Arabidopsis thaliana: one gene and its partner. The protein of the gene in region 2 interacts with the protein of the main gene of each other region in a biochemical or structural test. Each region holds a gene or a part of one and is shown on either strand. Other genes may lie near its edges.

What was found.
Region 1: the proteins of UBC10 (region 2) and AT1G49230 form a complex in vitro, tested with the Arabidopsis thaliana proteins (one study listed by BioGRID).

What each region holds. Positions count from the first base shown.
Region 1 is NC_003070.9:18,207,195-18,210,719, forward strand, and holds AT1G49230 (RING/U-box superfamily protein), read left to right. Parts: upstream 1-1,999; 5' UTR 2,000-2,125; coding exon 2,126-2,785; 3' UTR 2,786-2,983; downstream 2,984-3,525. Other genes in the region: AT1G49225 (uncharacterized protein), read right to left, coding at 596-666, 1,424-1,458, 1,951-1,953.
Region 2 is NC_003076.8:21,631,496-21,635,934, reverse strand, and holds UBC10 (ubiquitin-conjugating enzyme 10), read left to right. Parts: upstream 1-1,687; 5' UTR 1,688-1,836; intron 1,837-1,908; exon of another isoform or gene 1,909-1,935; 5' UTR 1,936-1,945; coding exon 1,946-2,015; intron 2,016-2,372; coding exon 2,373-2,500; intron 2,501-2,616; coding exon 2,617-2,721; coding exon of another isoform or gene 2,722-2,748; exon of another isoform or gene 2,749-2,989; coding exon 2,990-3,133; 3' UTR 3,134-3,368; exon of another isoform or gene 3,369-3,487; intron 3,488-3,888; 3' UTR 3,889-3,914; downstream 3,915-4,439. Other genes in the region: AT5G53310 (myosin heavy chain-like protein), read right to left, coding at 1-20, 525-843, 1,056-1,278. UniProt on the Arabidopsis thaliana protein: Accepts the ubiquitin from the E1 complex and catalyzes its covalent attachment to other proteins. Mediates the selective degradation of short-lived and abnormal proteins.

The DNA.
Region 1 (3,525 bases), on a different chromosome or scaffold from region 2:
CACACGCATAAGTCATCAAAATAGCAATTACCATGAACAAGACAAAAAAGATAAAAAGATATTAGTAAGAACTATGAACAAATAGATATTTACTTGACAGAAAGAAATTATTAAGTAGGGAGAATGATCAAATAAATATTTACTTTACAGATATTTAGTAGGAAGAATGACCAAAAAGATATTTTATAGATATTTAGCAGGAACTAAGAACAAATATATATTTAATCAAAAGTTCACCAAAAGATGAACACTGAGAAATGGCGCCAAAGAGTAAATGATTAAAGAATAGGTTCCACCAAAGAAAGTCAATAATGGTACATAAATGATTAAAAGACAGGACTAAAGCTCTGTGTTTCAGTATTTCAACTTTCTAGCCAAAGAGAACTATAATTAAAATGTTTCTGAAACTTTTCTTATGGCTCTTAACACCCACTGGATCCAAAACCATTTCCAAATCATAAATGCATCCAGCAAAAATGTTCTCAGAAATATTTCAAATTCTCACCAAGTTGCGTTATTTCACCTTAAGTCGTGTCGTGTGATTTCACCTCGATATGTTGGTAACATTTCACTTCCATCATTCAAAAAAAAAAACGGTGAATGACCAATTTTAGTTTGGATGATCTTTCTGTCTGTTCAGATTTCTCATCTTCATCCATGTTACCCCTGCAGTTTTAAAGTGAATGAGTATCAAATTAAGATATTCCCAACAAACGAATCATTATAGCATATAACACAACAAAAGTAAAGTTTATTTGCTTTAAAGAAGGTACCAAGAAAACAGACCACTATATATATTTGTACCAGTTATATGTAACCTAATGGCACAGACAAAAGAAAAAAGGAATCCATTTCCGAGTGAGACTGGTGAGAAAAGATAGAAAAGATGCATCTCCTACTGTGTAACATCAACTTTTTATCCCAAAGATACACAATCTTCCCTAATCTAATGTTTCACTAAACCAGCTATTAGGAAAGTAGCAAGAAACAATGTTATACAAAAGCACATATCAAAGAATCTTGCTTTGATTTTGGAGCTACAAGAAAAACATTAGATACTAGATTCATGTAGATTTCCCTCGCAATTTGCAACCAATGGAAGAAGATATCTCATAAAGCAAACAAAAAGAATCATTTTTTATTCGTTCATCCGTGGGACCAATTCCTTTACCTCTGATTTAAAACAAAGGCATGTAAAGATAAAGAGAGAGAGAGAAACTGTTTACTGAAAAAAAAGCAGGAGGTGGATACTAATGCTATGAGAGTGATAAAAGTAGCCTTTAACAAGATTGATTGGGAGAGGCTTTGTCCTTTTGGCTACTCTATGGACAACTTGAGTTACTACGAATGGGGTGGATTCCTGTTCCCCAAACATAAGTAGAGTTCACTAAATGGAAATATTTCATCCGTACACTCTCAAAACCGCACAAAATCAACAAAACTTTTAAGATTCCACCACTGTTAAAAAATAGCAAAAAGGGAAAGAAAAGAAAAGTTAAATCAAACCTTGCTTTATATATGAGAAACTCCTTTACAGGTTAGACACATATGTGATATATCACTGGGTCAGAACTATCTACCGAAACTCGGTTTTCATCAAGACCATAAGTAGAAAACATATATTATAAGCCCTAACAGGCTAATATCAAGGAACAGTGAGATATCAGTAAAATGAGCCAGGAGATATTAATATTTGAATGCTGCTATATCAAAGATAGGGAAAGTTCATGGCTGCTCCAGTTAAAAAGCTCATGGGTCCCTAGAAGCAATTCTGGGAGATATGATTTGCTAAGGCCACAGCCACATGGCACTACTATTGCAGCAACTGGTATGATGGACCCATTTTATATAACAAAGCATATTACGCTGCAAATGATTTTATAAAATTAGACACTAAAGGTAAAGGTCCATAATGTGAGCTTGATCTTTATAGCTTCTTATTCATCCAACCATAAGTTTTTCTAAATGAAATATATAAAAAAAAATTCCTCATTAAATATCTGAAAAAAAATTGAAACTTTACCTTTCCTCTATATAAACAATTAGCCTCCAAACCTTTACTCTATATAAACAACCTCCAACGGAAACACAGAAAGCCACCAATCTATCTTAAAACTAAGTTATCATGTGCACTACCATTTCCATTTCCATTTCCACCATAAAACCAACTGAGATCTTTCAAGAAATTCTTGGAAGTTCTTACTCAAGAAAATTACTATTTCATACCCATGATCAATCACCAACTCCAGCACCATCCCCATATGTAGGCGATAACAACTTTGATGCAAATGTTGTTATGGTCCTATCAGTCCTCTTATGTGCACTTGTTTGCTCACTTGGACTCAATTCTATAATAAGATGTGCCTTGAGGTGCTCCAATTTAGTACCATCTGAAGCTGGTGGTGACAACTATCCTGTTCGCTTGACCAACACAGGAGTCAAACGAAAAGCCTTGAAGAGTTTCCAGACAGTAAGTTACTCTACTGAACTAAATCTGCCTGGCTTAGATACCGAGTGTGCTATCTGTCTCTCGGAATTTGTAGCCGAGGAACGTGTGAAGCTGTTGCCGACATGCCACCATGGATTCCATGTCCGTTGTATAGACAAGTGGCTTAGTTCACACTCGTCCTGTCCCACCTGCAGGCACTGCCTCATCCAGACATGCGAGAAGATTGCCGACTGCAGCCAAACAAGCTCGTTAAACTCTACTCAACCACCACAAGACAGCATCATTCTCCAAATAGCACCACTAGAACCGGAAAGATGGATACGCTGGTTTAGGTGAACTAGAACTAGTCACCTAGATATTTGTAGCAGCTATGATTAAACTACTATGTTTTAGAATTATTTGAGATTACAAGCGGTCTACACTTAAAAACAAGTTTAGCATTTCAACTGTAAAGTTGTAAATATTACGAGAATGTTACTTTCTTCATATCTTGAACTACTAAATGTTTATATTTCACAGTTACAAGCCAATAAAGGAAAATTTCATTAGATCTGCAAATACTCACACTGGAAAACAAAACATAAACAATTCAAAAATCAAATGTACAGGATGATGAGAAGGAAAATCACTGAAAGGCTTAAAGCAATAGTTTAGTGGAGGTGGCCAATACACTTAGTCAACTAAAGAGAGATGTCATAATCTTTACCATTATGAAGTTTCAAGGTTATTAAAGTCAGGCTCTGCCACTAGCTTATTTTACTGATTATCATAAGGGTTACTACACTTTTATATAAATCATACAATAACATAATGTACCCTTCCAGAGGTAGAAGAGTCTTCTTGCTTTGTTATTGAACAAATTAAGTTGTAGGCTGTGACAATGCGAAGCCCCGGAGAAAAATGTCAAGGCCCACAAATGAGAGAAACATGCAATAATATAATCCATCGAAAGGAGAACAAGAGAGAGAGGTCACCACCATAAGAAACAGCACAAAGCGAATGGGGTCCGAGGACGAATCCCACCATATGGTCAAATCAAATAATACTAAAAGGGGAGGTTCAATGTTATACTGACC
Region 2 (4,439 bases):
CAGATGCATTGTACTCAAATCTGGAATGAACACAAGGAGAAACCATTATCAGTATAAAACACAAACTGCACATATAAACCAATAGCTGAGTTTTACGATATGGGAGATATACAAAATGTTTCTACGGACTATTATCGTGATTGCCATTTGAGAACAGTTTCAATCAAAACTAGAATATGTCATCTAACAGTATTTAAAATATAGTTGTAACCATTTGTATCTCAACGTACTAATTTCAGTAGTTATCTCCTAAAAGTGTTAATTCTTTATCTTCTTCCATAAATATAGATATGATTAATAGGTACAAGTGGATCCTCTGGTCTCACCACTAACTAATAGCCAAGTCACTTAAGAAACAGAGCTCACTAAGTTTCAGAGACTAAAAAGACCCACATCAGTTCTCAGTAACACAATACCTGTAGTGTCAATATCAGGAAATGAGATGAAAATAAACAATTCTCATGTGCATGGTATTAGCATTCAAAGAGGAGACATCAAAAACCAAAAATTGCGGTCATAGTTACCTGTTAGAGAGAAGCACTTCAAGTTCATAGTCAGAAGCACTTTTAGTGACATCTACCATGACCTGAACAAGCTCAGTCTTCCTAGTGCTGGCCATGAAGAGATCATATTCCGTGGGAATAATGATAGCGAAGAAGTTATCACTCAATTTGCTTAAACACATCTTCTCTACTGATGACAAAGCAATTCTCCTGGTCATAGCTTCAGTCTCGGGATCAATTAGATAGATCGCAAAATCAGTGAGGATAAAAATACGCCGTTTCATCTTCCCCGAGCCGGTGAACTTCAAAACTTTATCAGCAAAAAGAATCGATGTATCACCTATAACAACAATGAATCACCTTCTCAACATCAAACACATGCAATTCAAGGTGAATCCAATCATTAGCAATCCAAACAACCACATAAGAAACTATAAATCGATGCCACAATTCTACAGCTGATTCAACTATTCCTCCAAGTTCTTCGATTCACAAATTGCCTCTCAATCTCAAATTCATCAAATAAAAACCAAAAGTTTGGAGAAACCTAACCTTGTTTCTCCAGAATTCGCATCAATCCAGGACGAGAAGAAACGTGAAGATAGTCACCACGATGCTCTCTATAGCGAGACGCTTTCCTTCTGACTTTACCTCCAGCGAATGGCGTGTGATCTCCTCCGTCTACCTCACCCACACTTCGATCTTCATCAAAATCAGGTGGAGGTGATTCTTCGCCGTCGAACTTCGGCCCCTTTTGCTCCTTCAACCGGTTCATTCCTCCCGGCGACGAACTCGAAATCGGAATCGGTTAGCTTATTCTCAGATTCTGCGTTAGAAAAATCTCCAAAGTGAGAGAGAAGACGTGGCTTCAAATGATTCGATCGATTAAAAGATACAAATCTCAGCCGTTAGATTATATGACTTCATCGCAACGCGTTTCGATGCCACTTGATTTGAAATTTATAATAAACTCGCAGCCGTTAGATTTCAATACCACTTGATTTAAGGATAGGATATCAACCGTTAGATTAGATGACTTTTTAAGACGATGTCGTTTCAATGCAACTTGATGTTTTAATTAAGAAGCGCCGCGTCGTTTCAAGGTCCACCGAATAATAAGAGGGTTAAAAGTAGAGTCCACTAGTCAAAGAAAGTAAATAATCCACACGGTATTTATTGTAGACGTGAGCACAGAGAATAATTCGTATTCTTCGTCTTTCGTCCACCACCATCTCTATTTTCTTCCTTTCCCCTAAGTCTTGGTTCTTCTTCTCTCTAATACGAGAAGAAAAAGGCGAAAACCTCGCCAATCCGATTACGCGAAAAATCAAAGGTATTGTCTCTGTAGCTTTTGGATCTATTACTTATATTTCTCACGGATTTATAGCTTCTCTGATTCGTTTAGAATCTTTGTTTGATTTTTGATTTTTAGGTTTTTGGATATGGCGTCGAAGCGGATCTTGAAGGAATTGAAGGATCTCCAGAAGGATCCACCTACATCATGTAGCGCAGGTACTTGTTTCGTGTTTGGATTTTGAGATTTCATCTTAAAAAGTTTTGTTTCCCTGAGCTGGTGTTGATAGATCCGGTTTTTTTGTTCGCTTATGCTTGGATTTGTTTGGATTTGTGTGTTTATGTGTTGTTTGGTACCGATCTCGAGCTAAGTACTCGTTTTACTTTTTAAGATCTGGCTAGAACTAAATTTGGTTTATCTCGTTTCTGATTTCTCTGGTGAAGATCTTATAAAGGCTTAAAACTCGTTTCATTGTCTTAGTTTCTGGGGTCTGGTTATACTTGTGAAGAAAAAACTGTCTCTTTGTTTCCTTGTGCTTATGTGGTGTGAGATTGAGTTTATCTTTCTGTGTACAGGTCCTGTTGCTGAAGACATGTTTCACTGGCAGGCAACGATAATGGGTCCTTCAGAGAGTCCTTATGCTGGAGGTGTTTTCCTTGTAACCATCCATTTCCCTCCGGATTACCCATTCAAGCCTCCTAAGGTGATTCCAATATTTTGAGAATTGTTATCAAGTATGTTTTGCCAAAGCTCGTATGTTCTTTATGGTTGCTTCATTATCTCATTGTTCTTCATTATGGTGTGTGTGATGATATCTAGGTGGCCTTTAGGACCAAGGTGTTCCATCCCAACATTAACAGCAACGGTAGCATTTGCCTCGACATCTTGAAGGAGCAGTGGAGTCCTGCGCTCACCATTTCCAAGGTTCGGTTTCTCTTATTCTTTTGTTAACAATAGAAACCCACCTTAAAACAAATACTCTCTATTAAAACTGCTTCAGAGGCAGTAATCTACTCTTATCAAACATGCTTTTGCTCCTTAATCCCTAGTTGAAGTGATAAGATTGAGCTGTCTTCATTAAACTTTGACTCATTTCGGTTGTCTCTGAAACATTAAGCTTATTAGACTCATTGAGGATGAAAAATTGTTGTTTGTTATCGATCAGTTCTAACAACTGCTTTGCAATTAACAGGTGCTGCTATCGATCTGTTCTTTGTTAACCGATCCAAACCCGGATGATCCTTTGGTGCCCGAGATAGCTCACATGTACAAGACTGACAAGAACAAGTACGAGTCCACTGCACGAAGCTGGACTCAGAAGTATGCCATGGGCTAAATGGAAAATCCCACCTACTAAATTATCTCTTTATGAAGAAAAAAATCTGCCTTAATTTCTATGTATGATTCGATAGACATCTCTTTGTGTCCTTTTAACTTTCTGAAGACAGGACCAAATGAAGTGGGTCTTGTTTTAAACGAAACAAAAAAAAACATCATCTTTGTGAAAACTAGAATCTGATCATCTTCTGTTGTTTCTTCTTGTGGTGAAATTATGATTTGATGTTTTCGTTGTGTGATGAGTTGCTACGAGTTGTTCAAATTTATCAAACTAGTCTTCAAACTTATCCAACTGGTCTTCAAACTTATCCAACTGGTCTTCAAATTTACTCTGAGTTAATCGTTGTGGCCAATGCCCGTCATGGTGACAATGCGTTCTGTTGTAGCACGTATGTTGTAGAAAATGAGTTTTGTACCTTGCAAGGTGCGCCTGTGGATTGTGGACTACATACGTGATGCAACAAACATTTTAAGTATGCAATAATATCACAAACAATCCTATATCCATTAAACGACATGTATTATGCATGTTTGAACTCAAGTAGTAACTCAGCAATGATTCACTAGTACAAAACCACTAAACACCCTATTTTGTTTATAAGTTATAACAGTTTTCTTATTCGTATCATCCATCATATCATGAGTTTGACGAAAACATGTTATTTGGTGAAGTCAAATTATTTGACAATACAGTATTTAATAAAATAATAAATAGCCTGATTATGTGGAATGTGAGTGGTATAGAATCAACAGAAAAAAAAAAAAGAGTGGTATAGAATCTAATACTACAGATAATCTATAGATGAATGGGTATGGACTGAACTCAAGTTATGTAGATGGGCTTCGATGGACCAAAGATCCATCGCTCGTCCGAGCTTAAAGTATCACCCCTAACAAATTATCTTTACAAGTCCACAGGTAAGAGAAAAATACATTTAATAGTGTTGTGCTATTAGAATATTTTTGAATTTCTCTTCTCTATAAGAAAATACAGTATGTTACTATCTTTTTTTCAAAATTTATCATTATCCCACGGATCAGTGTATTAGAAGAGTATCAGTTTGAACTTAGAAATGATAACCAACAGGCAAAACTTACTCTAGTTAAGAGCAAAAGACCAAATTAAACATCTGCTTTAAGTTTAACAAAATAAGAAATCATAGGGACTATAGGTTTGATTTAGATATCCATGAAACTTGTAGGCTAAGAACTCTAGACATTCAAACGCAAAATTCAAACAATTGGTGTCGACTGAAAGAAATAAAATAAAAATCAGTGTTCCATGTTTTTTGGTTTAGTTAAGA